Linked DNA regions of Pelodiscus sinensis. The protein of the gene in region 3 binds, or shares a complex with, the protein of the main gene of each other region. Links are inferred from orthologs where the notes say so. Each region holds a gene or a part of one and is shown on either strand. Other genes may lie near its edges.

Region 1 (7,603 bases), on a different chromosome or scaffold from region 3:
ATCACAGGCTGAAAAAGCTACCACATCAGACTAAGCCTTTAATAGAACTCAAATAGAAGAAAAACATAGCCAGCTAGTTTCTGTGCAGGGCAAATCAAGGTATCTATGCAAGCCTATGTACATACCAAACAATGTCCACTTGCTTTTTTAAGTCCTTTGGGTAAATGGCTTTCAAGAAGTCAGGGAGAAATTCAGCTGCTCTGTTACACCATTTTAAAACCTAATCTTACAGCACATAGAACAATGGCATATGACCAATATGCCCAAAGAGCTCTTATTCTCCCCTTTTCACCAAGACAATAAAAGGTACTCACAGGAATAGTGACCAGATATCTAAATACTTCAGAACAATTTTTTTAAAAGCAAGGTTTTTTTGCTGGTTTAATAGCTTGTTCAGCCAAGTTCCTTTGAAATCCACTATGGTTAATAAGAGGCAGCTTTTGGGAAAAAAAGGTCTTCCCTCCCCTCCTTTGCGGGAGGAGGGCCAAAAGAATGAAGGGCAGCCTTTCCATTCTTTATTTTTTAGGTCCTCAAAGAGGTCTGGTACAGGACACAACCCACAACTTTTTCTTAATCATTGAATAGCAGCCCTTATGAGCCAATTTTCTAAAGACCTTGGCATTTCTCTTGCCAAAATGTTCTACCAGGGTGAAGGCATTTTCCAGAGATTGGCCTTAGGCTACATAAGCTTGGTAATCTACAACTTGATCTTAAAAACTTTCAACACATCACTTGAAGTTATATACTTTTTCTATGACTATTTAGTAATGAGAGGTTCCCAGTCCCCCAGATGGTCTAAAACATGGTGCAAGAGTAATTTTAATTCTAACAGAGAGGGATTCCTGGCCCAGATGTCACTTCTAAGTTTCTAAACCAACACCCACTCAAGTCAGTTGACTTACACAGCTGTTTTAAAAATTTTGGGAAGATGGGATCCTTGCATTGATCACAGTCTTGCTGCACCCCAAGAGTTCTCTGATTCATATGTAATGTCCAACCAGCAGTCATGATCACAAACAGCTGGATTGGAAGAGATAAGAAGAGTGCCTGGAATTTCTACACTACTTTGGAAAGCTCTACACTACTTTGTGAAGCACAAGAAACACTGGAGTTACAAAGGTCTGGGAAAAAAGTTTTTCTATTGACTCCCATGACATTAGGGTAATCTTGGTTAAAAAAAAAAATACTGTGTGTGAAAAGATTCACCCCCGTCCAAAGAAGCACCAAATCATGAGTCAAAGAGATATATTTGTGGTCTCAGTTAGAGGCTGCCAAAAATCAAAGGGCTGCAGGTTTTCTCTTGGTATCACCTACTTACATTGTAAGAACTAGCAACACCTTTTAAGTCATAATTCAATATCAATGACTCCAAGCCCTGAAGCCTAAAGTACACAAAGGCTGAGACACGTCGGAGTCCTTGGATATAGAGGGCAGGTGCAGAATGCTTCAACAGAGATGGTGAGACTGATGAACCAGACCCACTGGGACAACAAGAAATTTCAATGTTCAGAGATCAAGACTGGTTAAGGCTTTTATTTCAGAAACCTATGGATTGATCTATTGCTAGATGGATGAAAGTCTTCAGGATTGTGCCTCAAGGTGGCATTCTCCACCATACTTAAGTTAATTGGGTTACATCTGCAAGAGGATCCAAGGCACTACTGTAGGCCCAAACCTGTTAATTTGCTCATCCATTAAAGATCATCTCCAGGATATAGTATGATGCTGCTGAGTTGCCTTCCTACCTGTCTGAGAAATCAAGACAACATATGGAAATCAAAGAAATTATTTAAAGCATGATGTTTCAACACCTCAGATTCACAAAGAGCGGAGATTTCGTGAAGAATCATATCAAAGCAAAAACCTAATCCCAGGTAGACATCCTCTGTGGTATCCTGTCACTGAATCCCTACAGGAACAAGTGGTCAAAGGAAGTCAAAAGGCAGGACTCCCAAAAACAAAAGTAAAAATAGAAAATGAGCCATAAGTGGATGGCAAAAAGGAATACCACAAAGATACCCAAGAAGACTGGATTCCTGACAAGCACAGCTAGGGTGCCAGCAACCGGAAAAGGATGTGTAGGGAACTCCTTCATCCAGCATGCCTAGGCAGGGATGGTTCAGACACAGTGCACAGCCTCCGGCTGATAGAAGGGGGCAAGTGAAGCTCCAGCCCGTTGCCAGGGACTTGAGAGCCAGCACCCCACCGCTTGGTAAGTGCCACCTTGACTTGCCCTGGGGCGCCGCACAAGCCCCAGCAGTGAAACTCCTTCCCCCTGGCGTTGCCGCAGGGCATCTGCAGACCCGAATTCGGCTCGGTGTCATGTCAACACACCCGGCGCCGCTCGCCCATGGCTGCTCGAGGTCACGAGGCAGCCGGTGGCAGAAGGGAAACAGCTCGGCACGTTTCCGCCCAGCGCGCTCCGCCCCTCGCTGCGTGAGGCGCCGCGGCTACCCCCGGCACCCGCACGGACCGCTCGCTGGGCAGGAGCGTCCCCTCGTGCCGGGCCCGCTCAGCCCGGGAGCAGCGGCTACGAGCCGCGCTACCGCCGCCGGCCAACGCCTGACTGAGAGCGCTGGGTCCGCGCCCGCCCCCGCCGGCGGGCTGGGCGCGTGGGCGGGAGGTGGGCGGGACTCACGTACTCTGCACCTGTAGGTCCATCTCGCGCATCTCGGTGAACCTGTCGCGCAGATCCATGGGTAGCTGCTCGATCACTGCGGGGACACAGAGGGGAGGGGGAGGGAGCAGTCAATCACCGCCATGGGAGGGGGAGGGGGAGCCCCCTCGCTGCCGCCCCCGTCCCGCTCGGCCACCCGGCCGGCTGGGACCCCCGCCCCGCGCGCACTCACTCTCCAGATAGTCCTCCAGGTACAGCATGGCGGCGGCGAGGCCAGCGCGAAGGGGCTTCTCGCTAACGCGGGGATCGTCCCTTCCAATATGGCGCCGCCGCCAACAACACCAGCACCTCGACTCGGCGAAAACAACATTGGCGGCGGACGGGGCTCGTTCCGGCCCTGCGCCGATTGGCTGCCTGCGCCTCTGACGTACGCCATGGCTCGCGCCCGCCCGCAAGGTCCTGGGAAACGTAGTAGCCGTGTGAAGGCGGGAGCCGGGACTACATGTCCCACAATGCACCGCCCAGCGGCGGCTGCCCTCCTCCCAGTAGAGACGGACTCGCCCCGGAGTTGAGGGGCGGGGCTAATCCACGAGGCAGAAGCAGGCGGGGTGTGGAGCGCGTGGCGGGGTGCTGCCAAGCCCCAGCGCGATCTCCACGGGCCGGCGCTGGCCAAGGCACCGTGCGCTGTGCTCAGCCGCTGCCGAAGGGCGGCATCCAGGCTAGCCAGCTTCTGAAAGTGATTTTTATGGACCGTTTAGAAAAAAAAAATACAGACCCCCCCCCCCCCCCGGCTTGTGTTCGGACACATTCTTATGTAACATGAAAATGGCTCAAAAGGATCAAAGTGAACAATATTCTTTGTTTTAATTCATAGGTCACACAGCAAAGTTATTATGCTAGTTGCACCTACTTATTAGTCACATCAGAGCCCTCCAAGTTCTCCAGTGTGTGATGAAGTGACTGGGGGGAGAGGGGGAGGAGCTGGGACTGGGGGCTGCCACCAGTCCTGTGATTTACCAGCAGGCAGTTGGTGATTGATGCCCAGCACATTGTACTCATCTCTCCCAGTCCAAGGGAGCCAGGCAGAAGTGTGTGCTGCACACACACTCACCAAAAGTTGCTGCTGTGCTGACTTTAAGGATACCGAAACAGAGTTCAAAACTGGAGGCAGCATCCTCCAACCATCAGAGACTGAAGCCATCTTCACCAGGAGAATTCCCCTCTCTGCCCCTGCCATGGAAATTGTAGAGTCCCTGGAGCTGCCCAGTGAATCACAGAATCATGGAGGTTGGAAGAGACCTCAAGATATCATCCAGTCCAACCCCCTGCCCAAAGCAGGATCAACCCCAACTAAATCATCCCAGCTTTGTCAAGCTGTAATTAAAAAGCCTCTAGGGATGGAGATTTCACCACCTCCCTATGTAACCCATTCCACTGCTTCACCATCCTCCTAGTAATATAGATTTTCCTAATATCCAACCTAGACCTCCCACACTGCAACTTGAGACCATTGCTCCTCATTCTGTCATCTGTCACTATTGAGAACAGCCTGACTCCAGCCTCTTTGGAGCCCCTTTCAAGTAGCTGAAGGCTGCTATCAAATCCCCCCCCACTCCCCCTCCACACACACTTTTCTGTAGACTAAATAAGCCCAAATCCCTCAGCCTCTCCTTGTAAATCATGTGCTCCAGCCCCCTAACAATGTTTATTGCCCTTTGCTGGACTTTCTCCAATGTATCCACATCCTTTCTGTAATGTGTGGCCCAGAATTGGACATAATACTCCAGATGCAGCCTCACCGGTGCCGAATACAGGGGAATAATCACTTCCCTACATTTGCTGGCAATGTTTCTACTACTGCACCCTAATATGCCCTTAGACTTTTTGGCTACAAGGGCACACTGTTGACTCATATTCAGCTTCTCGTCCACTGTAATCCCCAGGTCTTTTCTACTGAACTGCTGCTTACCCAGTCAGTCCCCAGCCTGTAACAGTGCTTGGGATTCTTCTGTCCCAAGAACAGGACTCTGAACTTGTCCTTGTTGAACCTCACCAGATTTCTTTTGTCCTAATCCTCCAATTTGTCTGGGTCACTCTGGACCCTATCCCTACCCTTCAACGTATCTATCTCTCCCCTAGCTTAGAGCTTGCCTTGGCACCAAGTGGGAGGGATTCCTCAGCTGTGCTCCAAAGCTCAGTGTTTTTTAGTGATACCTAGATTTTTTTTATGGATTTTACAAACAGGTCCAATTTTAGCTCTTCTTTATGGACTGTTCATGAATTTACTGATGATTGGCAATCTTGGAAATGTCACATCCCATCATTCAGTGAGTACATGGTCTGCAAGGCTGGTGGCCTGGAGCAGGAGCACATTCTGTGGCAGTGAAGGAAAGCTGCACCGATGACCCTGCACTCCTTCCCTTGTGTGACAAGTGATCCTACTGCACCAGGTTGCAATGTCACTCACTCTGTTTTGGCATCTTGTCCGTAGGCCTTTCTGGAGAGTCATGGCCCAAACCTGAACAGGCAGTGGGAGACTAGCACTGCTGATCCTCCTTGCCACTTCCAACTGCATATCCTCTGTATCATGCAGGGGAAGCAGCATCACTGATTTTAAAATGTATAGTACTAGACATCAGGGCTGCATCTAGATTGGCATGATTTTCCGGAAATGCTTTTAACGGAAAAGTTTTCAGTTAAAAGCATTTTCGGAACAGAGCGTCTAGATTGGCACGGACGATTTTCCGCAAAAGCACTTTTGGCAGAAAAGCGTCTGTGCCAATCTAGACGTGCTTTTCCGCAAAAAAAGCCCCGATCGCCATTTTCATGATCGGGGCTTTTTTGCGGAAAACAAATCTGAGCTGTCTACACTGGCACTTTTGCACAAAAGTTTTGCACAAAAGGGACTTTTGCGCGAACGGGAGCAGAATAGTATTTCCGCAAGAACCACTGATTTCTTACAGTAGAAAGTCAGTGCTTCTGCAGAAATTCAAGCGGCCAGTGTAGACAGCTGGCAAGTTTTTCTGGAAAAGCGGCTGATTTTCCGGAAAAACTGGCCAGTCTAGACACAGCCCAGGATTCCAGTCAGAAAAAAGGTTGAAAATATAGCAAGTCTTTAAAAAGGCCCCAGAAAACCTCAAATAAAAATGTATTTTGGTGTTGAAACTAAACTAATTTTGGCTCTGTATTTTGGAGCCTGACTTTTCATTTCTGAACCCCTGAAGTTAGGAATACTGCACATGGGTCAACAATATGTATGTAACTAATATAATGTATATGTATTGTCAATGGGTGGAACTGAACCTGGGTCCTCTGGAGTTTAGTGCATGAGCCTCTAGAGCTTGAGCTAAAAGCTAGCTGGTTCTCAGTTGAGCCTGTAGAGCAAATGCATTCTTCTCGCTGTAAGTGGTATCAGTGCCACTACATGAGACAGTACATCACATCCATAAGGTTTGTGGGTTACATATGTACCAAGTGTATTATGCAACTAACTCCATATATTATCACATGAATCACTAATAGAGGCTGCCACTGTCCATATTCAGTTATTATATAAAATATGATGTGGGCCTAATCTTAAACCCACTGACTTGAGAATATTTCCATTGAATGCACTCGACTCTGGGTCAGGGCCAAAATAGGGATATTAACGTATAGCCATTTAAATGATTAACCCATAAGCCTAGACTTATGGGTTAACTAAAATAGCTACACTCAACCTCCCCTGCCCCTTTATCAGGCAGCAAAGGGGATGTGAGGCAGGAACCGGTGCCCAGAGGAAGCCGGCTTTTAAGCCATTTGTGCATGTATGCCAACTCCACAGAGCCCCCTACCCCCTCATCCCTCTGTGCTGCTGCCTCTATATGGGGGGCAAGTGGGATGCTGGTGCAGCTTCTGTTCATGGGGAGCTCAGACCCCCTGCAAAAAGGGGCTGCTGCCACCCCACCCTGCTGCCTCTGTATCAGAGGCAGCAGCGTGGGGTGGCAAGTGGGAGGTGGTCTGCATAGGGTGCCAATTTTTAAGCCATTTTTCCTTGTGGAGAGGCAGCAGCATAGGGTAGCAGGGGGCATTCCCTGGGAGTGGGGCTGGGAGCACACTGGCTGCCAGCCCTGGCCCCAGACTATTTTTAGTAACCATATAACTGCTTAAAACTGTTCCAACTGTACAGTTACTGAAATACATGGTATCTAACACCCCTAGTCCAAAATATAGGAAACCATGGCCCTCTCAGAGGTAATTAGACTTGTGGTTGAATTCCTCTAGTCTTTCATCATTTACTAAAAAAATGCCATTTCGGAATGAAGTTTTCATGTTTCATCTCAGTCCAATAAGGACAGGGTTTGGCTGTTTTAGTAGTAGTATTTCCAGAGAATTTAGGAACCCTAGTCATGTACCAGGACCCCATTATACTAGGCACTGTACTAACAGAATGAAAAGATGATCTCTGCCCCCAAACAGCTTGCATTGTAAATGGAGTTTGATGGGTGATGGGTAGAGAGTTGTAAATGGGGTTGATTTGTCAGCAGCATAAGAATTACCATACCAGTGCAGGACCAGTGGTCCAGCCAGTACTTCATCCTGATTCTATCTAGTGACTTGTATCAAAGGAAGGGACAAGGATCTCTATAATAAAAGTTTGAGTGGAAATCTTTTAGCGCTGTTTATCAGTTACTGCTGAAAGCAGTAATCATCAATACTTGTGAAGAAACCATTGGCTACCACACCAGACATCATCAGGACTGGTTTGATGAAAATGATGTTGAAATTGAGCAGCTCATTAATGAGAAGAGAATGACATTTTATGCTTGGTAGAATGATATAAATTGCAAGACAAAGAGAGAAGCCCATGCTAAGGTGAGGGCAGAAGTCCAATGTAAGACCAGAGAACTCAAGAATAAATGGTGGACTGAGAAAGTGCAAGAACTCCAACATTTTATGGAAACCCAGAGTACACATGGTTTCTTTATGCTATTAAGGCTGTTTATG
Region 2 (7,171 bases), on a different chromosome or scaffold from region 3:
GGGGTACATCAATACAACTAAAATTTGGAGAAAACTTGATTTTTTGTTTTAAGTTTTACAGCCCTTTATTGTTTTTGTACTTTATACACTGAAAAATGTCATCACCCGCCCGGCTACGATTAAGTTGTTTAAAAAATGTGTTGGAATGGTAGAAAAAAATTGTGTCTGAAAACTGTAGGTACTGAGAGTCCTTTTTTTTAAGGGGGTACTTAATTTTTTTAAAGGGGTATTTTATTAAAAAAAAGGCTGAGAAACACTGCTGTAGATTACTAGATCCAATGGTTATCTTCTGAGGAAGTGGGTCTGGCCCACAAAAGCTCATCACCTAATAAACCATCTCGTTAGTCTTTAAAGTGCTACATAGTCCTGTCTTTTGTTTCAACTAGACCAGACTAATATGGCTGCATCTCTATCACTATTCTAATGACCCTGATTGATCTATGTAACAGGACAAGCTATGAAAGAAGTCATTGACCGGTCTACTGACAGTTGTACTGATGTAACTATGTTGGGTGGGGATGTGATTTATTTTTAAATGTTAACTGTTATACTAGTGCAAACTGTGGATGCAGTTATTCCCCTTCCTGTAGAAATAGCTATATAGAGATTCAGAGGGGTAGCTGAGCTAGTCTTTAACACGAAAAACTTAAAAAACAACAAATAGTCTAGTAGCACCTTAAAGACTAACAAAACATGTAGATGGTATCATGAGCGTTTGTGGGCAAAATTCACTTCAGTATAACAAGTCCTCCGGTCATCTGAAGAAGTGGGTTTTGCCCACGAAAACTCATGATACCATCGACATGTTTTGTTAGTCTTTAAGGTGCTATCGGACTATTTGTTGTTTTTTAAGTTTATATGAAGATTGTTCATCTTTACAATCACAATTGCATCCACACTAGAGGGGTGTACTGATTTTATCGCTTCAGTACTAGGCAATTTACTTGGCGTTGCCCGGGTCCTTACCTCAATTAATTTTTGTTTTTTTGGAAAATAAAATTGAAATGTGTGTGCTTCATTTAAATCATCGCTCTGGCATGGGGCTGGGGACGAGGGGTTCAGTACGCAGATGGCCCAAGGAGAGCGAGGAATATCCTAGCCCTTTCTCACTGCAGCTGCTTGGAGCTGGGTAAGAAGCACCTCCCCATGGCCACTGCAGCTCCAGTGAATAGAGCTGGGAGAGGGGTGCAGGTCTTCCCCCTGGGGCAGGTCCAGGTTCATCTGCCCCCTGTACTCTCCAGCCAGAGTGAGGAATATAGCAAACTGTGCACTTTCCTCTGGTTATCTGACAAATGGAAATGACCAGCAATGTCCCTGTATAAAAGAGGTAGGGGTGGAGAGCTTCGCCCCCTCACCCACTCTACCTGAAGGGCACCTGGGAGATGGAAGACTTGGGGCTGAGGCAGACCTGCTGGGTGGGGAGGTGGAAGGGGTGCAAGTCCCCCCATCCAGCCCCTTTCACCTTCCTGGTGATTGTCTCTCTTCTGTATGGTTTTATGAGAAGCAATCCCATTCCAGGCACATCCCATTTTTCTGGCACAAGAGGAAGCTGTATACCAAATTTGGTGGTCCTAGCTCTTACCTTTTAGGAGGACTTCTTGAACAAACAGACAAACTCTCTCAAATATATAGTAGATTAGAAGACTTACCCAGTGTTGCCCAAGTCCTTCAGGGCAGGAGGCCTGAGGTCTGCAGAATATAGGAAGGTCGCCAGGGACTCTCCCTCCCCTGTGGCGAGGTGGCCTGCCAGGGGCTCCCTCCTCCCGGGGCTTGCCCTTCCCCCTCTCCCTTCCTGGGGCAAAAAGGGGCTGGCAGGGACTGTCTTCTGTGCATGGGGGCCCCATTTACCCCGTTGGGTGGTAGGCAAGATGGTGACCCCTTTTCTCACTGGCCGCTCTCAAGGTGATACAGCTGCCCAGTTTCTCTGTACTATTGATCCTCTGTGCTCCCTGCCTTCCGTGAGTATAGCATCTCTCCAAACAGCCCTTCCCTTTCTGGAAAAGTCCTATTCTCTATAATTCTCATTTTCCTGGCACAACCAAACTCTGACCTTGCTTTAAGTTAGGAAAAGAGGAAGCTGCCTACCAAATTTGATGGCCTTAGCTCTTACCATTTAGGACTTCTTGAACAAACAGACTCACAGACAGATGCATACAGTATTTCTAAAATATATACACAGCTAACACAGTGCAACTTTTCAGTGCAGACAGGGCCTTATTGGCACTCCTGTGTGTCACATAGTTTAATTCTTATGCTAATGGTCTAAACAGGGATCCTGGATGGCTCTCAAACTATCTTCCACCTTTTAATAACTTAACCAACCAACGGAGGTGCTAATGGTTCTTAACTGACTCCTGTAACTACTTGAACTATCTACTCACCATCTACATGTTTTGCTAATCTTTGAAGTGCTACTAGAATAATTGTTGTTTAAGTTTTATCTACTCATATCTCTCTTTTTCTTCCTCCCCTGCCCTTTTTCTCTCCCCCCTGCCCTCCCACCTTCCCTTTTCTTATTTATCCTTGGATCTGGACTCATTATACTCCAGTCATCTGAAGAAGTGGGTTTTGCCATGAAAGCTCATGATACCATCTACATGTTTTGTTTGTTTTTAAAGTGCTACTAGACTATTTGTTGTTTTTTAAGTTTTTACATACTTTATTAGCTGGTGTCAGTAACTTGAATCTTCAGCAAAAATGGAGCAAATGAAAAATGGATGTAGCTTTAGTATTTCTAAATCTTCAGGAAAGCAAGTGGTATTGCATAGAAGTCAGAGAAGAAGGTTCATGTTTCATATGCAGCAGGAGCAGAGCCATTACAAGCTACAGTATGTTTCAAGGGAACAATGAAGGACATTACACACTTCTAAATAAACTTATTTTAAAAACTCAAGAACATTCTGATCTCTCCAAGAATGTTCCTTAGGAGGTACGTTTTCTTTACAAGAAACTTACTGCCAGGAAGAAAAAGCTGATCATTTTGCCAAACAAAATCATGTGAGTTTGCATAGTTAGTAGCCAGGGCTAATTAAAAACAAGCTTATTTGGAGTACACCTGATAAGATTACTGGAAGGTCAGGAGATGAACCTGACTCCAGAGAACAGTGAGTATTGACTTGGCTAATAACAATAGCTTCCTCTAGGAAAATATTAAACAGTGAAAATACGGAAGGGTGTCCAATTCAAAATAAAAACTAAGGGCTTGTTCAGAGGTGAATGGGATATTGGGGGGGACTGAGGATGGGGTCTTAGTGCTTCTCTGGGAAAAGGTTGGATGAGGGCACCAGAGGCTGCCTGAGGGGAGGGCTCTGTGTGCAGTGTGGATAGGATGGGTGGCTCTGAGTGGGGGTGCTATGTGTACATGGTAGATGAGGTGCAGAATGAATGGGTGTCCTAGTGGTGGAGGGGCTCTGGGTAGATGGACATGAGGGTAGGGATGATGTGGATGGCGTGTGTGGGGGATGCTGAATAGGATGCCAAAAGGGACTCTGCAGGGTAGATGGGGAGGGCGGTGAGGGGGTCCCTGGGCTGCAAGGGAGGGTCCCCGGGCGGTGGGGGGGATAGTGGCGGGGGGCCCCTGGGCAGTGAGGGGGGGGCTCGGCGGTGACTGGGGGTCCCCGGGCGGTGAGGGGGGGCTCGGTGGTGAGGGGGTCCCCGGGCGGTGAGGGGGGGTCCCTCGGGCTGTGAGGGGGTCCCTGGGTGGTGGGGGGGATAGTGGCGGGGGGCCCCTGGGCGGTGAGGGGGGGCTCGGCGGTGAGGGGGTCCCCAGGCTGTGAGGGGGGGCTCGGCGGTGAGGGGGTCCCCGGGCGGTGAGGGGGGGGGTCCCTCGGGCTGTGAGGGGGTCCCCGGGCGGTGAGGGGGGGGTCCCTCGGGCGGTGAGGGGGTCCCCGGGCTGTGAGCGGGGGCTCGGCGGTGGGGGGGGTCCCTTGGGCTGTGCGGGGGGGTCCCTCGGGCGGTGAGGGGGGGTCCCCGGGCTGTGAGGGGGGGTCCCTCGGGCGGTGGGGGGGGGTCCCTCGGGCGGTGAGGGGGTCCCCGGGCTGTGAGGGGGGGTCCCTCGGGCGGTGAGGGGGGGTCCCTCGGGCGGTGGGGGGGATAGTGGCGGGGGGCCCCTGGGCGGTGGGGGGGCTCGGCGGTGAGGGGGTCCCCGGGCGGTGCCGGGCGCGGGGGGTCCCGAGGCGGGCGGGTCTCAGCGCTGCCCCCGGCGGACCCGGCCGGCAGCGCACGCGGCTCCCGCCCCCTCCCGGCCGCTCCCGCCCGCCGCAGCCATCATGGCGGCGCTGCACACCAAGGCCGGGGGCCCCCCCCAGATCCCCGACACCCGCCGCGAGCTGGCCGAGCTGGTGAAGCGCAAGCAGGAGCTGGCGGTGAGGGGCGGGGAGCGCGGCCCGACCCCCCCCCCCGGCCCGTCCGCCCGGGCCGCGACAGGCCGCGCCCGGGAGCCGGCTAGGCCGCGACTCCCCCCCCCCGCCCTGCGCAGCCTCGGGTCCCACCCCCTGGGGGCACCGGCCCTGGGGGGCAGAGAGGATGGGGGGCTGGGGAATGGGGGGTACTAGCTCTGGGAGGGAGAGGGTGGGGGCTGGGGAATGGGGGGTACTAGCTCTGGGAGGGAGAGAGGATGGGGGCTGGGGAATGGGGGGTACTAGCTCTGGGAGGGAGAGGATGGGGGCTGGAGAATGGGGGGTACTAGCTCTGGGAGGAGAGAGGATGGGGGGCTGGGGAATGGGGGGTACTAGCTCTGGGAGGGAGAGGATGGGGGCTGGGGAATGGGGGGGTACTAGCTCTGGGAGGGAGAGGATGGGGGCTGGTGAATGGGGGGGTACTAGCTCTGGGAGGGAGAGGATGGGGGCTGGGGAATGGGGGGTACTAGCTCTGGGAGGGAGAGAGGATGGGGGGCTGGGGAATGGGGGGTACTAGCTCTGGGAGGGAGACGATGGGGGGCTGGGGAATGGGGGGTACTGGCTCTGGGAGGAGAGGGGCTGGGGAATGGGGGGTACTAGCTCTGGGAGGGAGAGGATGGGGGGCTGGGGAATGGGGGGTACTAGCTCTGGGAGGGAGAGGATGGGGGCTGGGGAATGGGGGGTACTAGCTCTAGGAGGGAGAGGATGGGGGCTGGAGAATGGGGGGTACTAGCTCTGGGAGGGAGAGGATGGGGGGCTGGGGAATGGGGGGTACTAGCTCTGGGAGGGAGAGGATGGGGGGCTGGGGAATGGGGGGTACTAGCTCTGGGAGGGAGAGGATGGGGGCTGGGGAATGGGGGGTACTAGCTCTGGGAGGGAGAGGATGGGGGCCTGGGGAATGGGGGGGTACTAGCTCTAGGAGGGAGAGGATGGGGAATGGGGGGTACTAGCTCTGTGAGGGAGAGGATGGGGGCTGGGGAATGGGGGGTACTAGCTCTGGGAGGGAGAGGATGGGGGGCTGGGGAATGGGGGGTACTAGCTCTAGGAGGGAGAGGATGGGGGGCTGGGGAATGGGGGGTACTAGCTCTGGGAGGGAGAGGATGGGGGGCTGGGGAATGGGGGGGTACTAGCTCTGGGAGGGAGAGGGTGGGGGCTGGGGAATGGGGGGTACTAGCTCTGGGAGGGAGAGAGGATGGGGGCTGGGGAATGGGGGGTACTAGCTCTGGGAGGGAGAGGATGGGGGCTGGAGAATGGGGGGTACTAGCTCTGGGAGGAGAGAGGATGGGGGGCTGGGGAATGGGGGGTACTAGCTCTGGGAGGGAGAGGATGGGGGCTGGGGAATGGGGGGGTACTAGCTCTGGGAGGGAGAGGATGGGGGCTGGTGAATGGGGGGGTACTAGCTCTGGGAGGGAGAGGATGGGGGCTGGGGAATGGGGGGTACTAGCTCTGGGAGGGAGAGAGGATGGGGGGCTGGGGAATGGGGGGTACTAGCTCTGGGAGGGAGACGATGGGGGGCTGGGGAATGGGGGGTACTGGCTCTGGGAGGAGAGGGGCTGGGGAATGGGGGGTACTAGCTCTGGGAGGGAGAGGATGGGGGGCTGGGGAATGGGGGGTACTAGCTCTGGGAGGGAGAGGATGGGGGCTGGGGAATGGGGGGTACTAGCTCTAGGAGGGAGAGGATGGGGGCTGGAGAATGGGGGGTACTAGCTCTGGGAGGGAGAGGATGGGGGGCTGGGGAATGGGGGGTACTAGCTCTGGGAGGGAGAGGATGGGGGGCTGGGGAATGGGGGGTACTAGCTCTGGGAGGGAGAGGATGGGGGCTGGGGAATGGGGGGTACTAGCTCTGGGAGGGAGAGGATGGGGGCCTGGGGAATGGGGGGGTACTAGCTCTAGGAGGGAGAGGATGGGGAATGGGGGGTACTAGCTCTGTGAGGGAGAGGATGGGGGCTGGGGAATGGGGGGTACTAGCTCTGGGAGGGAGAGGATGGGGGGCTGGGGAATGGGGGGTACTAGCTCTAGGAGGGAGAGGATGGGGGGCTGGGGAATGGGGGGTACTAGCTCTGGGAGGGAGAGGATGGGGGGCTGGGGAATGGGGGGGTACTAGCTCTGGGAGGGAGAGGATGGGGGCTGGGAATGGGGGGGTACTAGCTCTGGGAGGGAGAGGATGGGGGCTGGGAATGGGGGGGTACTAGCTCTGGGAGGGAGAGGATGGGGGCTGGGGAATGGGGGGTACTAGCTCTGGGAGGGAGAGAGGATGGGGGGCTGGGGAATGGGGGGTACTAGCTCTGGGAGGGAGAGGATGGGGGGCTGGGGAATGGGGGGTACTGGCTCTGGGAGGAGAGGGGCTGGGGAATGGGGGGTACTAGCTCTGGGAGGGAGAGGATGGGGGGCTGGGGAATGGGGGTACTAGCTCTGGGAGGAGAGAGGATGGGGGGCTGGGGAATGGGGGGGTACTAGCTCTGGGAGGAGAGAGGATGGGGGGCTGGGGAATGGGGGGTACTAGCTCTGGGAGGGAGAGGATGGGGGGCTGGGGAATGGGGGGTACTAGCTCTGGGAGGAGAGAGGATGGGGGCTGGGGAATGGGGGGTACTAGCTCTGGGAGGAGAGAGGATGGGGGGCTGGGGAATGGGGGGGTACTAGCTCTGGTAGGAGAGAGGATGGGGGCTGGGGAATGGGGGGTCCTAGCTCTGGGAGGAGAGAGGATGGGGGGCTGGGGAATGGGGGGTACTAGCTCTGGGAGGGAGAGAGGATGGGGGGCTGGAGAATGGGGAGTA
Region 3 (7,502 bases):
ACTGCTCGAGAGGAGACGACATACTGGAGCTGATCAGGACACCCTCTGAGTTCTATACTAGACCCACTAAATTGAACCCCAGAAGATCAACTGTGGCAAAGTTGAACTTCGGCATAGCGTAGACATGGCCAGAGAAGGCATAAAGCAGCAGGTATACAGTACACAGTAAAAGTTAAAGCAGGAAACGTGCCAGGCAACAAATGACTTTCTAAAAGGTCACACAAAATAAAGGATCATGTTGGAAAAGCGAATGCCTTTCTAATGTATTTAAATATATTTACCATCATTTGCATTTTTTCTGGCTTTCTTCTTGTGTTTCTGGGCCCAGAAAGGCACGCCTCCCATAGCTCTCTGAAATCTAAAAGAAAGGACAATTTTCATAGCCCCATTCTTTTCTAATGATTTGTGTATCATACTGCCAAAAACTGATTTTTCTGCAACTTTTCTCTCACTAATAGGTAGACATTAAAACAGTGCCTCCTAACAATTACACCATCTCACTCAGATGCAGCAGCCAGACTTCTTTTGCTGTTTTTAAATAGATCTTTTCTACTCTAGCTTCCATGAACTGATTCAGCACAGAAAATCTGAACTAAATGACATACATATATAAAATGTTATACTCATACATGCCTAGATGGCAAAGTTCACATATATAAGAAATAGTGCTGTAAAAGGTTAACTGGTAAGCTTTGCCCTTAAGAGGTAAGGCTTACCAGTTCCGTTTAACTGGTAGGGGCTAAAGCAGCTCCTTGCACACCTCTGCAGAGCCCACAGCACATATAACCACTATAATTTTTGGCAGTTACATGGGTGCATTTTTAAATCCCTAATAAAAAGGATGCTTAAATACACACATGCAATAATTAGGGCATATAAATATTATGCTATATGTAAAATTCTGTTTAAATGGTTAACTGTTTAAATGTAATGTTTAACTGGTTAACCAATTAAAAGGGGAGTGAGGAGGCTGCTCCAGCCAACCTGGGCTGCAACAGCCTGCCTCACTCCCACGGGGTTGGATGCATTTGATTGATGAAGCTACTTATTTTGTTGCTTAACGGATTTTATGAAGTCTAATTTGTATGTTAACTTCTCTCCTATGTCATATAATGGTAAGGAAACAGAAACAAGACTGTGCTCCAATGACAATAAAGCTTTCAATAGTCTCCTCTCCATACCACAGAGCAGCTGAAAGCTTCAATGACAAGCAATACAATCACATGCTAAGAATGTAGGGTTTTTTTCATTATACTAGTTATTTGTTAAGTCCTCACAACATGGTCGATGCTGTTAAGCAGACTAGCTTTAAGGAATTTAAGTTATTCACCCAAGTCCCTTGGTGAAAAAGGAGAAGAAAAAAAAAAGAGCAAATCTTACTTGAACATAACATATCTTATGTTACTAAAATTAACAGCAAAGTTTGCTAACATAATCCATTAACAATTCTTACTGTTCTTGAAGTCTCTGATTAAGTTTCTCTTTGGTAAGCTTCTTCTCTGCATCACTTTTCATCATGCCTTTGCGATAACGATGTGTCATGTCAACTCTAGGAAACAAAGCCATATTCTCAATGCTAAAACTGCAAAAAGCATAGTAGCAATCCTTATTTTCTTGAAGACTTCAAAAAGCAGCCATTTAGAACAACACACTCAGTATTTCTTCCAATTCTTGAAGTCAATACCTCTATTTCCCCTTATTTCCAGTCACATCATAACATTATGAGCTTAACTCACATTTCCTCAACTTCATCATCATCATCCACCCAGGCAGGTTTTTTAGATGCAGGAAAATTATCTTTTGCTTCATTCTCCACTTCTGAGTCACTGATGTCCTCTTTTAGAAGATTTCCTGTGACAGTATCAAGCTTAAAGAAAAAACCCATACCATATGGTCAAACACTGGACAAATTTAATATTTACAACTTTAAACAGAGAAAGTTTAAAAGACATTTTTCCATAGGGGAAAAATAAAAGAATCGTAGTAAAACCACTGCTTTTCCCATCTCCGCATGCTGGGTGTAGAGCCAGGAGGGATACAGAGTGCAGTTCCTAATGCTCCCCTCCTCCAAATGCCCACCCCAACCACAAGAATCAGACAAGCAGTTATCTCCCCTCCCATAGTCCATACCCACTATTTCTCAGGAAAGGTCATAGTTTAGAGAACAATTTATTTATACTAAAAAGACACATCTGTTAAAAAAGCCACCTATCTATTGCTACTGACAGACTAGTCTACATGTAATAAGATGCACCTTTAAGCAAGATTTTCAGTAAGTTCCAGCTGTATTCCTAGGTCTTTCACTCTTAATGCCAAAAGTCCCACTAGATCTGAAATTGATTCTGCCTGCGAACCCACATTCAGTATAGGGATGTATTCGACTAGTTGCTTCCTCCCCCACCTCCCCATCAGATGTGTCATGCCCCGCTGGCCCTGTGGTGCTTGCACATTTAAAATGTAGCAAAAGCCAGCAGGTGAAAGTGCCCTTCTCGACTAATTGAATAGTCGATGCAAATTACATCAACTATTCCATTAGCTGATTAATCTAAATTTAACATCATTAGTTCACTACCTACAAATGTAGTGGCTATTGCTACAAGCAACCCAAAGCAGTTTTATGCTTCATATTTAAAACTGCCCAGAAAAATAAGCCACATATACATTTAAGTAAGATTTTACACATATAACTCTAACCATATAAATAAGACATATAAATGTAAGTAAGACTTTAGTCAGGGGCCTATTCCCCTTCCCAACAGAGAGCAGTTGAAAGGGGAGGCTTTGCCTACATTGACTGCAGCACACAGTACAAATGGTGTAGATTTGTGCTGCAGCAAAAACTCAACTGTGTCTACAGTATGACTAACTGCACATGGAAGTGGATGGCTCTTGCGGGACGAGGCAGCATGACACTACACCACTACGAATGGCAGGGGAGGAAAGCACCAAGTGGCCACATGCTCACAGGGTTCGGGGGTGACTTTACTCGCCTAAGCATTACCGCACCAGCTACACGGCTATTTGAACCCGTGCTGCGGACAGGGAGCGCCGCATGCTCACTCCCCGTGCGGGGAAAGCGCACCCAGACGCAGGAAGAAGTGAGGCTTACGGGGAGGGGTGCCTCAGTGGGGCCCTTTCTACATCCGCCAACCCCCGTCTTTCCGATCTTTACTTATCCCCTCCCCCCGCCTCACCTTCTTGCCCCGGGCCCGCAACCGCTGCAGCGTCTCCTCCTCCTCGGCCTCCTGGCTGCCGCCGAACACCAGCTCCTCCAGGCACCGCTCCACCTCCGGCTTCCCGGACAACATCGTCAGGTGCCGGGCACGTCGGGCCTCCTCGCCCCCATCGCCGGAGTCTCCCGCCCGCGGCGACTGCCGCCGCTTCCTCTCCGCTCGAACGCGCTTCCGCGCGGGGCTCCCACGAGCAGCTGCCGGCTCCATCTCCACACCCACCTCAGAGCCTACCGTGCCCACAGCGGAAGCGTCACTAGTGAACCGGAAGTAGAAACAAACAAGTCCCGCCCTCCGTGACCTAGTAGCTACCTCCCACCCTGTGATAGGCTCTCTGCCCCCATCACGCCTCTTTCACGTGATTCAGTCAGCGCCCCCTTCAGGCAAGACAGTCTCACGTGATCCATTTCCCTCCTCCCCCCGCTTCCCACGTGATAGGTTCCCAGGCCGGACCATTCCATTGCTCACGCGGAAGGGACCAGTCCCACTTATAGGGCCTAATCTTCCAGGAGCGCGGCTCACAAACGGTAACACGGGGCTCAGAAGCAGCGAACACGCCAACTACCAGTCTGTTTTTGACACGCCGCTTCGAGCACTCTCCCACCAGCCCCCCCTTTTACAAAATAGTTTCACCCTACGGAATACGGCGAGCCAGGAGGATCCGAAGACCTGGGGGCCCAATGAGAGCGCGCGGCGGGATGGGCGCTGCGCCTGCGCCCTGCGGTTATGCTAATGTTGTTGATATTCTGGGCAGGGAGTTGAATTTCTTTCTCTGCCTAAGTGAGAGGCTGAACTTTCCAGGCCACCTCCTGCCCCAGCCGGGCCCGGCCCCTCGGAGGGGAGGGGGGAGCGAGGGAGGGGGCTGAGCCGAGGGAAGGGGGGGGAGAGCAGCAGGCATCCCCTGCCCATGAGGGCCTGATGGAAAACACAAAGGACCTGGTGAGTAGCGCAGCCCCGGGGGGAGACGAGGCAGCGGCCGCCTCTGCGGTGGGTTCGCCTGGCTTACCTGGGGGGGGAGTGGATTGTGTTGGGGGAGGTAACGCAGCGTGGGGGGCTGTGCTTGTGAGGGGGAGCCCCCGGGGGGGTCACTCCGTGGGGAGGGAATGCAGGGGCAGTGCGGGCATGGGGGGCAGCCTGCAGAGTGGGACCTGGGAGGGGGGGAACTGAGCTTGTGTTTGGGGGAGGGAGCCGAGCAGCTGTGCTGGCCGCAGCGTTTGTGTGGGAGGGGAGCAGCCAGGAGCACCCTCCAGCTTCTGTTGTTTCATGAGTCTCTGTCTCTGCTGGAGGCGGGGAGGGGGCAAAGTAGAGGGGAAGCGCGGCTGCAGCATTTCTATCCCCCATCCTCTTCCGTCCGTGGGCACGCGGGAGGTGAGGGAGCCGGAGCCGCGGCGCGAGGGTGCCCGGAGAAAGCGCTGGGGGCTGGGGGCACAGCAGCAGTTACGAGCTCCGGGGCTTTCGGCTAGTTTGCTGTCTTCCTCTCCGGATTCTCCGCCCCTCCTCGTGTGTGCCTGCGGGGAGGGAGGGCTGCAGCTCTGATCCCGGGGCTGCTTCGCTGCTCTCTTTTGTTGCGATTCCTTCTGCGGTGATTTGCAGGCTTCTCTGAGTTCCTGGGAGAGCTCTCGCTAGGAGTTTGATTCGTGCAACTTCAATCTGCATAGCAGACTCTTCTGCGAGCAGAGTAGGTTGCAGTAAATGCAGAGTAGCATCCAGTTGATATGCAATTAGTATAATTACCTGGAGGTACTCATGCTGGGACAGTGAATGAGCACAGAGCAGGGGAGTGTTCCGCAGTGTTACGAGAGAGACTTTAAATGTCTCGCTGAAATACATTGCAATATCTGTCATCACCGGGAAAGAAACGGGTGATGTGGGAGAGGACAGTACCCTCATCAGACGGGTTACCTTTTGTTGTGCTCCCTTTTCCCCTAAGAAGATTGTGTTAGATTTCATCTCTCTGCAGGCTGCCTTTTTGTCTCTGCAGGCTCTCCTGACAACCAGAAACAATAGCAATGGCAATGGGTTTTTGTTTTTAACTGAACAATTCAGACCTGCTGTGATTCCCATTGACTGGTGGGGGAGACAAGAGAGGGAATACTTTTTTTATTGTAGTATTATCTTTTTGCAATTAAGGCGTTTGCTCTGAGGGTTTAATGAAACACGGCGTTTTCAAATGTTGCAATCTCTTTACTTTTACTATTTACAATTTTGGATTTTTATAAATCCAGTGTGTAACTCCATGGTTTGGTTTGCTTTTGGCATTTCTCGCAGCTTGAGCAATGGAACTTTGAAGATAGTTTCACTTTCAGGTTTGTAGATGGATTTCCAAGTACTGTATGGAACTTCTTGGTTTTAAAGAGATGCTATTTATAGTAGACTTTTTTAAATTGATTAGCCATTTTAGTTGGTGATGGTAGTCTTCATAAAACTTTAGTCTTGCAAAATGTACATGTGGGGATATTTATAAATTGGTAGTGCCTCTTTAAAAGTTGCATTCCTTTTAAAGAGAAGTTGTCATTTAAAGCTTGAGAGTCAGTTTAGGGCAAATCTACTCTAGGAAATTATTTCGAAATAACTAAATTCAGCACAATAACACCTGAAAGAGCAAAATCAAAATAGTATGCCCACACTATGGGGAAGCCTCAAAATTAGTACAACGCAGGCTCCATTATTGTGGATGTGCTCCTTTGACTTAGAGTCCCAGGATACCCTGGGGAGTAACTACTTCAAATTACTATGGGGAGTAGCTATTTTGAAATCGCAGCACTGAGGTGTCCGCACAAATACTGTTTCCAAATAACTGTTTCAAAATAAGCATTATTCCCTGAGGAAAGCAGGAGTAAAGATTTCGAAATAACAGGCTTGGTAATATGGATGCTCCGCTTATTTCGAAATAATGGGGGTTATTTTGAAATTACTCCTTAGTGTAGACCAGGACTTAGTGATTTGATATTTTTAGTGTTGGGGTCTCAAAGTTTGTTTTTTTTATACAAGGTAAATAACACAATTATACTTCATTTTTAATAATATTAGGTAACCAATCTGAAAGAAAAATTAATCTGTACTAAATTTACCATACAAGTAGTAGGGAAAAGGGCACTCAGTCTATAAAACAGCAGCTTTGTAATTCTATTTTAACTAGCTTTTTTTGAACAAGTTGTCACAGGGACAACTGGAAACCATAGGAAAGACAAGTTTCCCAACTGGAAGTTAACATACAAAGGAACCAGCAATTTAGACTTGGGTCCTGAAAACTCTTAGGTATATGAATAACTTTATACTGTGAAACAGGATTGGAGTGGGGAAGCAATATTTCCTTAGTTTCTGGTTTATAAAAATAAATGACTAGTTGGAGGACCATTGGTTAAAATGTTTAAGGGTTCGCATTCCTTGCACTTTGATTTTTTCCCCCTTAGTCCCTAAAATTCAGCCTGATTCTGCAAGGTGCTGAGCACAGTCAACTGACAGTTAAGCCTGTTGACAGTGCTCAACAGTTGCTGAATTGTTAACAGTTGCTGTGCAAAAGGTCTGTGAAATGGAGGCCACAAACAGACAGGGAAAACTGACTATAAAATGTCAAATGCAGATACTGAAGACAAAAGTGTATTTCTATAGCTTTTCAGCTACTCATTTGACGTGTTACTTAAGTAAAACCACTGTCCAAAACTTGCCGGTCAGTTTTGGAATTCCAGTGAATCAGAAATTACATTTGGATTGTTGCTAAATTGTTTGCATTTCCTACTGTGCAACAGTGCAATTGTTCCTCACAGTGCAACAGCGGACACAATTATGCTAAAGCTTTACATTTTTAATAAGTTGCTAGAAGGAAAGTTGTTTTGATTTTAAAACAGTTGCAGTATAACCCGTTCAGTTTTTGTGTGTGTATTTTTGAACAGTGCCCCTAACCTTTCCTGACTATTGTTCCCGTTTCAGGAGTCTGATTGGTCTTGTGTACCCCCATGTTTCACCTCACTTAAAAACTGCTTGTACAGGCAGTCCCCGAGTTACGCAGTTACGAACGGGGCGTTCCTCTCCCTGGTCTCCAGCAGACCAGGGAGAGGAAGCAAAGCGGCGGAACACGTGGGCAGCGGACAGGGCTGTCCGCTGCCCACGCGCTCCGAGGCTTGGCTCTGCTTTGCCCCCCCCCCCCCCCCCCCGTCCCCCTGGTCTGCAGACCAGGAGGACAGGGGGAGGGGGCAAAGCAGAGCCAAGCCGCGGAGCGTGCGATCAGCTGACAGCCCGGACGCGTCTGGGCTGTGAGCTGGCCGGGCGCTC
Region 4 (7,615 bases), on a different chromosome or scaffold from region 3:
TTCAGCTCTTACACCCACATGTGTATCCACCAAAGCCCCAAAATAGGTCCAGCAAGATTTGCTATTACAAGAATCAATATTAAAAATAGATTACCTGACAAGCACTCCATCCCATGTGGCAGAATGATTCTGGGAGTTACTGGGTGGCCTTATTCTAGATGCTGTAATTAGTTACATTTTATTTTGCTTAAGGCATTCACTGAGTAACCTCCCCCCAACACATCCTTTAACAATAATACACAAAAAACAGTCCTTATACGCTAAAGAAAAATAATTGACAGCTGTTAAAATAACACAGAATAATCCTGGTAACTAAGATCCAGATCCTCAAAGGTGTGTAGGTGCCTAATTCCCATTTGAGGTAGGCCCCTAAGTACCTTTGGCTTTGAAAGCCGTTACCCGTTGGTCAGTGACAATGCCCCTACATCTGGTCTGCACATATCCTGGGCTGAATTTATCTGTGATGTAACTTCCTTGAAATCAATGGAGTTTTATCAGGGAAGGAGCTGGCCTCTTTTGTCTCACAATAATTAAGCCTGTCGCCTTGCAGTCTGTACTCGGGCAAAGTTCACATTGACTTAAAAAAATATGCATGAACATTAACTTCATTCCCATGTTTGCGCTCGAACCTTTAGACAACACTGTAATGAATCTCAGAAAGCAAAAGCAATTTCAGACAGACAACGCAGCACAAGCAAACAGCAATGCACATGCACCGTTTGGATTCTCAGCCTGGTTCCTTATTGTCTTGAGTGTTGCGTTGTTATTTACATTAATGCAAAGCGGGTTTTAAATTATATTGTTCCAATGCAGGGTAACCATCAATCAAGCCAGAGAGAGAGGAAATCTTAAAGGGCAGCAAAGAGCAGAAGGATGTGAGATCAGATAGGTAATGGAATGAGTGTTATCATACAATCTCCAAACATTATTTCTTACCACTTATACGAGGAGGAGCTATTGGTCCCAGCAAACCTGAAACTAAAACCCAAGTGAGTCAAGTTAGATTTCCTACATTTAGGCCTGGTCTGCAGTACACAGGTCAATGTTAGCTGCCTTGTGGTGATCTGGCTGTGGAAGTGACTTCATTTACATTTGGCTCCGACTGGTGTTTATGTGCCTCTCTATGCCAAATTAGTAATACATCTCCCCAAGCGGCGTAGAGTCATGGTCAATGAAATTAGGGCTGACCCAGCGTCAGTGTAGACACTGAGATACTTATGTCAACTGTTCGTGCCTGTCAGGAGCTGTCTCACAGTGCCCCACACTGGCAATACAATGGATACTAGAGCTCCTGGTAGTATCCACCAACACAAGGAGCCAAGCGTGCATGCACACAAGCAATTCAATAGCTGCAGTGGCTGCATGAAGATGTAAGTTAGGTCGACAATGAGCACTTATAATAATAATATATGGTGATATACCATCTAATAGAGCTGGAAGGGACATTGAGAGGTCATTGAGTCCAGTCCCTTGCCCTCACAGCAGGACCAAGTAACATCCCTGACAGATTTGCCCCAGATCCCTAAATGGCCCCCTTAAGGATTGCGCTCACAACCCTGGGTTTAACAGGCCAAGGCTCAAACCACTGAGCTATCCCTCCTCCTTCAGAGGCAGGCACCTTCGTTTTCCCCTCCCCAGAACATCTCACCAGCCAGAGGGACTTAAGGATCAATTCCCTCCCCTCCCTTCCAGCACCTGGCCTTTACAATCAGCTGCTTTGCAGTGTGCAAGAAGAGCTGGAAAGGAGCACTCAGGAGAAGGGGTAGAACTGGCCAGGAAGAGGCAAGGCAGGGGCCCAACATGGAAAGGAAGAGGCAGGGTGAGGGTGGGGCCTGGTGAAGGGATACAGTGGAGGTTGAGTCTGGGGTTGAGCACTCCTGGGGAAAGGAGGAAGCTGGCACCTGTGTCCTATGGTGTGAAAAAACCTGAAAGTTCCAAATTCAGAATCACAGAACATATTTTAGCAACAAAGCCGATCAAGAGATAATTAGTTCATCATGCATTATTAGCTGAGTTTTGTAAGTTTCTTCCGGGTATATTATCAATCTAGATTTATAACCAAGATGAGTTAATCATGTTGAGAAATCAGAAATGAACACCCCATAACAAAGGCATGCTTCGTGGAAAGTGTTCAAAAAACTTCCGCTGCAGAGACAGTGCTAGTGAGAGTCAAGATTTGGTTTATTTTTCTTTGTGGACCAAATTAATCTCTTGCTGTTAGTGAATGCAATTGCTGTTGACTTCAATAGGATTGGGCATACTGAATCTGGCCTATGGATCTTTGTGTCTTACACTGGGATAAGACCAATGGGCAGATGTATTTCCCATTGGAGGCCACAAACCCATTGTGCTGTGGTGGAATTATAACGAGGAGTCCTGTGACATATTTGTTTGGGCATAAGCTTTTGTGGACAAACCCCCACTGTGTTAGATGCTTACAGTATTTTTTTTGTCCACACACAGGCCCATTGATGGGGAGACAAAGGGATCTGGCAATTCAGAGGGAGTGGAGTAGAAGTGGTGGGAGCCTGGGCCCTGTAAATCACTATGGGAGCACTGCATGGCGTGCTCCAGGTGGCTCTGAGGTTTGGGAGAGAGGGCAGCATGGCACACTCGAGGCCGGGGTGGGCAATAATTTTTGACTGGGGGCTACTTCAGAAATGTTTGAAGTGGCCCCAGGCTGCTGGAAGGGGCGGGACCTCAGGCAGAAAGGGCAGGGCCATGACACTTCAGTGCTTCTCCACCCACAGACTCTGATTGGTCTGGAGACAGGGGAGCACGCAAAGTCTTTGTCTCTCACCCCTGCAGAGAGAATTGCCAGCTCTTCTGAACAGCTGGCAGTTCTCTCTAGGCACCCGTTCCCCAATGGTTGGAGGAGACTTCACGTGCTTCCCCTCTGCTTCCCAAGTCAATCAGGCCTTGGGGGAGGGGGAGCACGCAAAGTTTCTTGCTTCCTGCCCCAGACCTGCAAGGGAGTACCACCCTTAGGCCTTGTCTACACTGGGCCACTTATTCCGGAAAAGCATCCTGCCAATGTAGACGCGCTTCTTCTGGAAATACTTATAACGGAAAACTCTTCGGCTACGTCTAGACTGGCCCCTTCTCCGGAAGAGGCATGCAAAGCAGGCAAGTCAGAATAGGGAAATCCACGGGGGATTTAAATATCCCCCGCGGGATTTAAATAAACATGGCCACTGCTTTTTTTCCGGCTTGGGGAAAAGAGCGTCTAGACTGGCGCGATCCTCCGGAAAAGGAATAAGAGATCCTCCGGAAAAGGGCTTTATTCCGGAGGATTGCGCCAGTCTAGACGCTCTTTTCCCCAAGCTGGAAAAAAAGCGGCGGCCATGTTTATTTAAATCCCGCGGGGGATATTTAAATCCCCTGCGGATTTCCCTATTCTGACTTGCCTGCTTTGCATGCCTCTTCCGGAGAAGGGGCCAGTCTAGACGTAGCCTTCCGTTTTAAGCATTTCTGGAAAAGGGTGCCAGTGTAGACGTAGCCTTAGAGTCAACCGCCAGCAGAACAGCAGCTGGTGGTTGACTTTAAGTACTGAGCTCCTTGCAGGGCAGGAGGAGATTTTGTGCGCTTCCCCCATCCCCAAGCCCTGATTTGCCTGGGGATGGGGGGAACATGCAAAGTCTCCTCCCGCCCTGCCCTTGTTCTGCAAGGAACATGCAGCGCTTAGAAGTGCCGTACACTCCTGGCAGGATGGGAAGAGACTTCCCGTGCTTTCCCCTGCTCCCAGGCCCTGATTGGTCTGGGGGTGGCGGGGGGGGGGGGGGGGAGCACACAAAGTTGCTCATTCCCTGCCTTCTAGCGCATGGTGCTTAGAGTCAACTGCCAGGGTTCACCGTGCTGTGCGCTCCCCCATCCCTAGGCTCTGATTGGCCTGGGGGGTGGGGGAGAGGCAAGGCCAGATCAACGCACTTGGTGGGCCAGATCTGGCCTGCGAAGGCCCTTTTACTCATCCCTGCTCCAGGTGGTGCTGAGGGCTTCCCAATCCCGCCCCCTCCTGTCTGAGGCTCCGCCCCTTCTGGGAGCATGGAGCTGCCCAGCCTTGCCCAGGAGCCCAACAAGTCTGTCAGCCTCCCAGCTCAAACCAGGAGGCTTCATGGCTGCAGGGAAAATTGAAAATAACAACACCTTTAGCATCAAAATCCAGATGGCCAGTAATGGATGATTTTTTTTGTATTACTAGAAGACGAACCCGGCATTGCTCAAGTCAAAAAAGTTTTTTTTTTTTCATTTAAATCATTGTTCTGCAAAGGGGCGTGGGGTTCGGTATTCAGGCTGCCCTGGGGAGAGAGGACCACTCCAGCCCTCTGTCACCGCAGCAGCTTGGGGCCAAGTGAGAAGCATCTGTCCATGGCCACTACAGCTCCAGCGGGCACAGCTAGGGGAGGGGTTCATGTCCCCCAGCTGGGGGGCTGACAGACACACAGACAGGCTCTCTGGAACGTGCAGTAGAGGAGCTGTCCCTGTCTCTGCTTCTGTCCCCAGCTGGCCCAGTGGGGTTCTACCTGGGCAGCCTGGCTTCCATCGATCGCTCGGTGCTCCATGGTTCTCCACTGGCCGCGCCTCCCCGCCTCGATCTCTCGGCGCTCCGTGGGCTGGATTCGCTCGGCGGTGCGCTCGCTCTGGCCTGGGCCAGGCCTGAGCAATCGCTCGCGGGGCCCGGCGGCTGGGGGATGAGCCTGGCGGGGGGCAGGGCGCCGCGGCGCACGGCGGGGAACCGGCTCGCGGGGCTGCTGGAGGCGGAGGAGGATGAGTTCTACCAGACCACCTACGGGGGCTTCACGGAGGTGGGGGGGCTATGGAGGGATTGTAGGGGGGATACGGGGGGGCTGTGAGGTGTCCCTGGGGGGCGGTGGGGGGATTGTAGGGGGGATACGAGGGGGGCTGTGAGGTGTCCCTGGGGGGGGTGGGAGGCTGTGGAGGGATTGTAGGGGGGATACGGGGGGGCTGTGGGGTGTCCCTGGGGGGCGGTGGGGGGCTGTGGAGGGATTGTAGGGGGGATACGAGGGGGGCTGTGGGGTGTCCCTGGGGGGCGGTGGGGGGCTGTGGAGGGATTGTAGGGGGGATACGAGGGGGGCTGTGGGGTGTCCCTGGGGGGCGGTGGGGGGCTGTGGAGGGATTGTAGGGGGGATACGAGGGGGGCTGTGAGGTGTCCCTGGGGGGAGTGGGGGGCTGTGGAGGGATTGTAGGGGGGATACGGGGGGGCTGTGAGGTGTCCCTGGGGGGGGGTGGGGGGCTGTGGAGGGATTGTAGGGGGGATACGGGGGGGCTGTGAGGTGTCCCTGGGGGGGGTGGGGGGCTGTGGAGGGATTGTAGGGGGGATACGGGGGGGCTGTGAGGTGTCCCTGGGGGGGGTGGGAGGCTGTGGAGGGATTGTAGGGGGGATACGGGGGGGCTGTGAGGTGTCCCTGGGGGGGGTGGGGGGCTGTGGAGGGATTGTAGGGGGGATACGGGGGGGCTGTGAGGTGTCCCTGGGGGGGGTGGGGGGCTGTGGAGGGATTGTAGGGGGGATACGGGGGGGCTGTGAGGTGTCCCTGGGGGGGGTGGGAGGCTGTGGAGGGATTGTAGGGGGGATACGGGGGGGCTGTGAGGTGTCCCTGGGGGGTGGTGGGGGGATTGTAGGGGGTATACGGGGGCTGTGGGGTGTCCCTGGGGGTCGGTGGGGGGGCATCAGTCCCTTGTGGAGGTTGAGTTGGGGACTGGCTGGGGTGGGGGCAGTGTGGGTGGGGAGCAGAGGGGCCCATGGGAGGGTAACATGCTTGGGCGAGTGGGGGCAACTCACTTCTGACTGTTGTTTCCTCCCCCCCCCCCCCCATCTCCTGGGCAGGAGTCGGGCGATGATGAGTACAAAGGCGACCAGTCGGACAGCGACGACGAAGTGGACTCCGACTTCGACATCGATGAGGGTGATGAGCCGGCCAGCGACCAGGATGATGATGAGCCCAAGAGGAAACGCAGGGTGGTCACCAAAGCCTACAAGGTGAGGACAGAGCAGCTGGTCATGGTGCTGGATGGCTCCCGCTGGTTCTGTATTTGGCAGCACCCACTAGTCATGGATTAGGGATACCCCCCTGTGTGCTGGGTGCTGTATGGCCCATGAAAAAAATGGTGGTTTTGGCCCCAAAGAGCTTCCAATTTGAGTAGATGACAGGAGGTGCCAAGTGGATACAGATGGGGGAGCACAAGAAAACAATGAGACAACCACAGTCAGTATGATGGGCAGTGTTCTCTACACAACAGCTGGCTAACCCCTGTTTCTGACATAGCCCTGTGGGGCTAAGGGAGGGACCCATATGAAAACTGCTGGCAAAACTCTCAGTATAACCAGATTATAACCTAATTTAGGGGATAACTGGGGAGTTGACAGCAATTCCATTTATAGGCTGTTTTATTTATGTTCTTAGCTGCAGTAGAAGCTTGAAAGCATAGTCTTCCAGAGCAGGAGTGCAGTCTCCTGGGCAGGACTCCTGGGTTCTATTTCCAGCTCTGGGATGGAGTGTGGTCTCAAGTTTAAGCAGGAAATTTGCAGTCAGGACTCCTGAGTTCCATTTTTGGGTCTCTGCGCTAGGTATGTGAAGGACTAGTCAGCTATCCAATAAGTAAACACTTATCGGATAGTCAACAGGATAGTCAACCAGTCACTTCCCCCCCATTTGCCGCCTCTATCAGATAGAGGCAGCAAGGGCGGAGGGAAAAGAGGAGGTACTTCAAAGTGGCAGCACCACATGGAGCTTGGGGTCTGTAAGGCGCTGCTGACTCTGGGCTCTGTAAGGCGCTGCTGCTTTAAAATGCCACAGGAAGCCTGGTGTTGGGCTTCTTGTGGCATTTCACTGCGGCAGTGCGGGGGGAGCCCGCGATCTGCCTGGGCTCCACACAGTGCTTTTGCTTTTGAAATGTAGCAACAGCCCTTAGGGCTGTTGCTATACTTCAAAGGCGGAGGCGCCCTATTGACTAATCAAATAATCGATGCAAAATGCATTGACTATTCGATTAGTTAATTAGTCGATACTTAACATCCTTACTTTGCGGGAGTGATGTTAAGTGATTAGAAACTAACCATAATAAACAGACCATAGTACAGGCAGTCCCCGGGTTACGTACAAGACAGGGACTGTAGGTTTGTTCTTAAGTTGAATTTGTATGTAAGTCGGAACTGGTACATATTGTAGGGGAAACTCTAGCCAAACATTTCTCCAGAGCTCAATTTTATTCCCCCACACCTCACTTCCCTCAGTCCTTTATTCTCAAGCTAAGGTGTCTGCTGAGAAAAGCCGCTCCGTGTCTCCCTGGTCTGCTGGAGGGAAGCAGCTAGTGCGGGGTTGCCTCACCCCGTTTGTAAGTAGGGATCCGATGTAAGTCAGATCCATGTAACCCGGGGACTGCCTGTAATAGTAAAAGTAAATCAGAGACTGAAAATGTTCTTTCTGTAATCAAAGGTGTAACTAGTATTACGGGCAGAGCACTTTTAAAAAAAAAAAAAAAAAAGGCATTTATGTCAGCAAGGGCCTTCTGGCAAAAAGCAGCAGCAAAATCCCTTGTTTAAATAATCCCTTTAATTAAATGGGGCTGAAATCTCCAAAGCAGCATTATATAGTAAGTC

The links.
Region 1: MBTD1 (region 3) and ING3 share a complex: the UniProt entries of both Homo sapiens proteins name them as parts of the nuA4 histone acetyltransferase complex. The link is inferred for Pelodiscus sinensis from reciprocal best matches to the Homo sapiens genes MBTD1 and ING3.
Region 2: MBTD1 (region 3) and MEAF6 share a complex: the UniProt entries of both Homo sapiens proteins name them as parts of the nuA4 histone acetyltransferase complex. The link is inferred for Pelodiscus sinensis from reciprocal best matches to the Homo sapiens genes MBTD1 and MEAF6.
Region 4: MBTD1 (region 3) and VPS72 share a complex: the UniProt entries of both Homo sapiens proteins name them as parts of the nuA4 histone acetyltransferase complex. The link is inferred for Pelodiscus sinensis from reciprocal best matches to the Homo sapiens genes MBTD1 and VPS72.

The regions. Positions count from the first base shown.
Region 1 is NC_134711.1:42,743,938-42,751,540, forward strand, and holds the start of ING3 (inhibitor of growth protein 3), read right to left. Parts: upstream 3,010-7,603; 5' UTR 2,878-3,009; coding exon 2,850-2,877; intron 2,715-2,849; coding exon 2,643-2,714; intron 2,610-2,642; exon of another isoform or gene 2,325-2,609; coding exon of another isoform or gene 2,234-2,324; intron 1-2,233. UniProt on the Homo sapiens protein: Component of the NuA4 histone acetyltransferase (HAT) complex which is involved in transcriptional activation of select genes principally by acetylation of nucleosomal histones H4 and H2A.
Region 2 is NC_134735.1:9,831,219-9,838,389, reverse strand, and holds the start of MEAF6 (chromatin modification-related protein MEAF6), read left to right. Parts: upstream 1-4,168; 5' UTR 4,169-4,268; coding exon 4,269-4,364; intron 4,365-7,171.
Region 3 is NC_134730.1:15,381,829-15,389,330, reverse strand, and holds the start of MBTD1 (MBT domain-containing protein 1), read left to right. Parts: upstream 1-4,492; 5' UTR 4,493-4,493; coding exon 4,494-4,598; intron 4,599-4,885; exon of another isoform or gene 4,886-4,908; intron 4,909-5,031; exon of another isoform or gene 5,032-5,536; intron 5,537-7,502. Other genes in the region: UTP18 (U3 small nucleolar RNA-associated protein 18 homolog), read right to left, coding at 282-358, 1,454-1,549, 1,737-1,867, 3,195-3,440. UniProt on the Homo sapiens protein: Chromatin reader component of the NuA4 histone acetyltransferase complex, a multiprotein complex involved in transcriptional activation of select genes principally by acetylation of nucleosomal histones H4 and H2A.
Region 4 is NC_134734.1:15,611,903-15,619,517, forward strand, and holds the start of VPS72 (vacuolar protein sorting-associated protein 72 homolog), read left to right. Parts: upstream 1-4,597; 5' UTR 4,598-4,688; coding exon 4,689-4,802; intron 4,803-5,842; coding exon 5,843-5,995; intron 5,996-7,615. UniProt on the Homo sapiens protein: Deposition-and-exchange histone chaperone specific for H2AZ1, specifically chaperones H2AZ1 and deposits it into nucleosomes.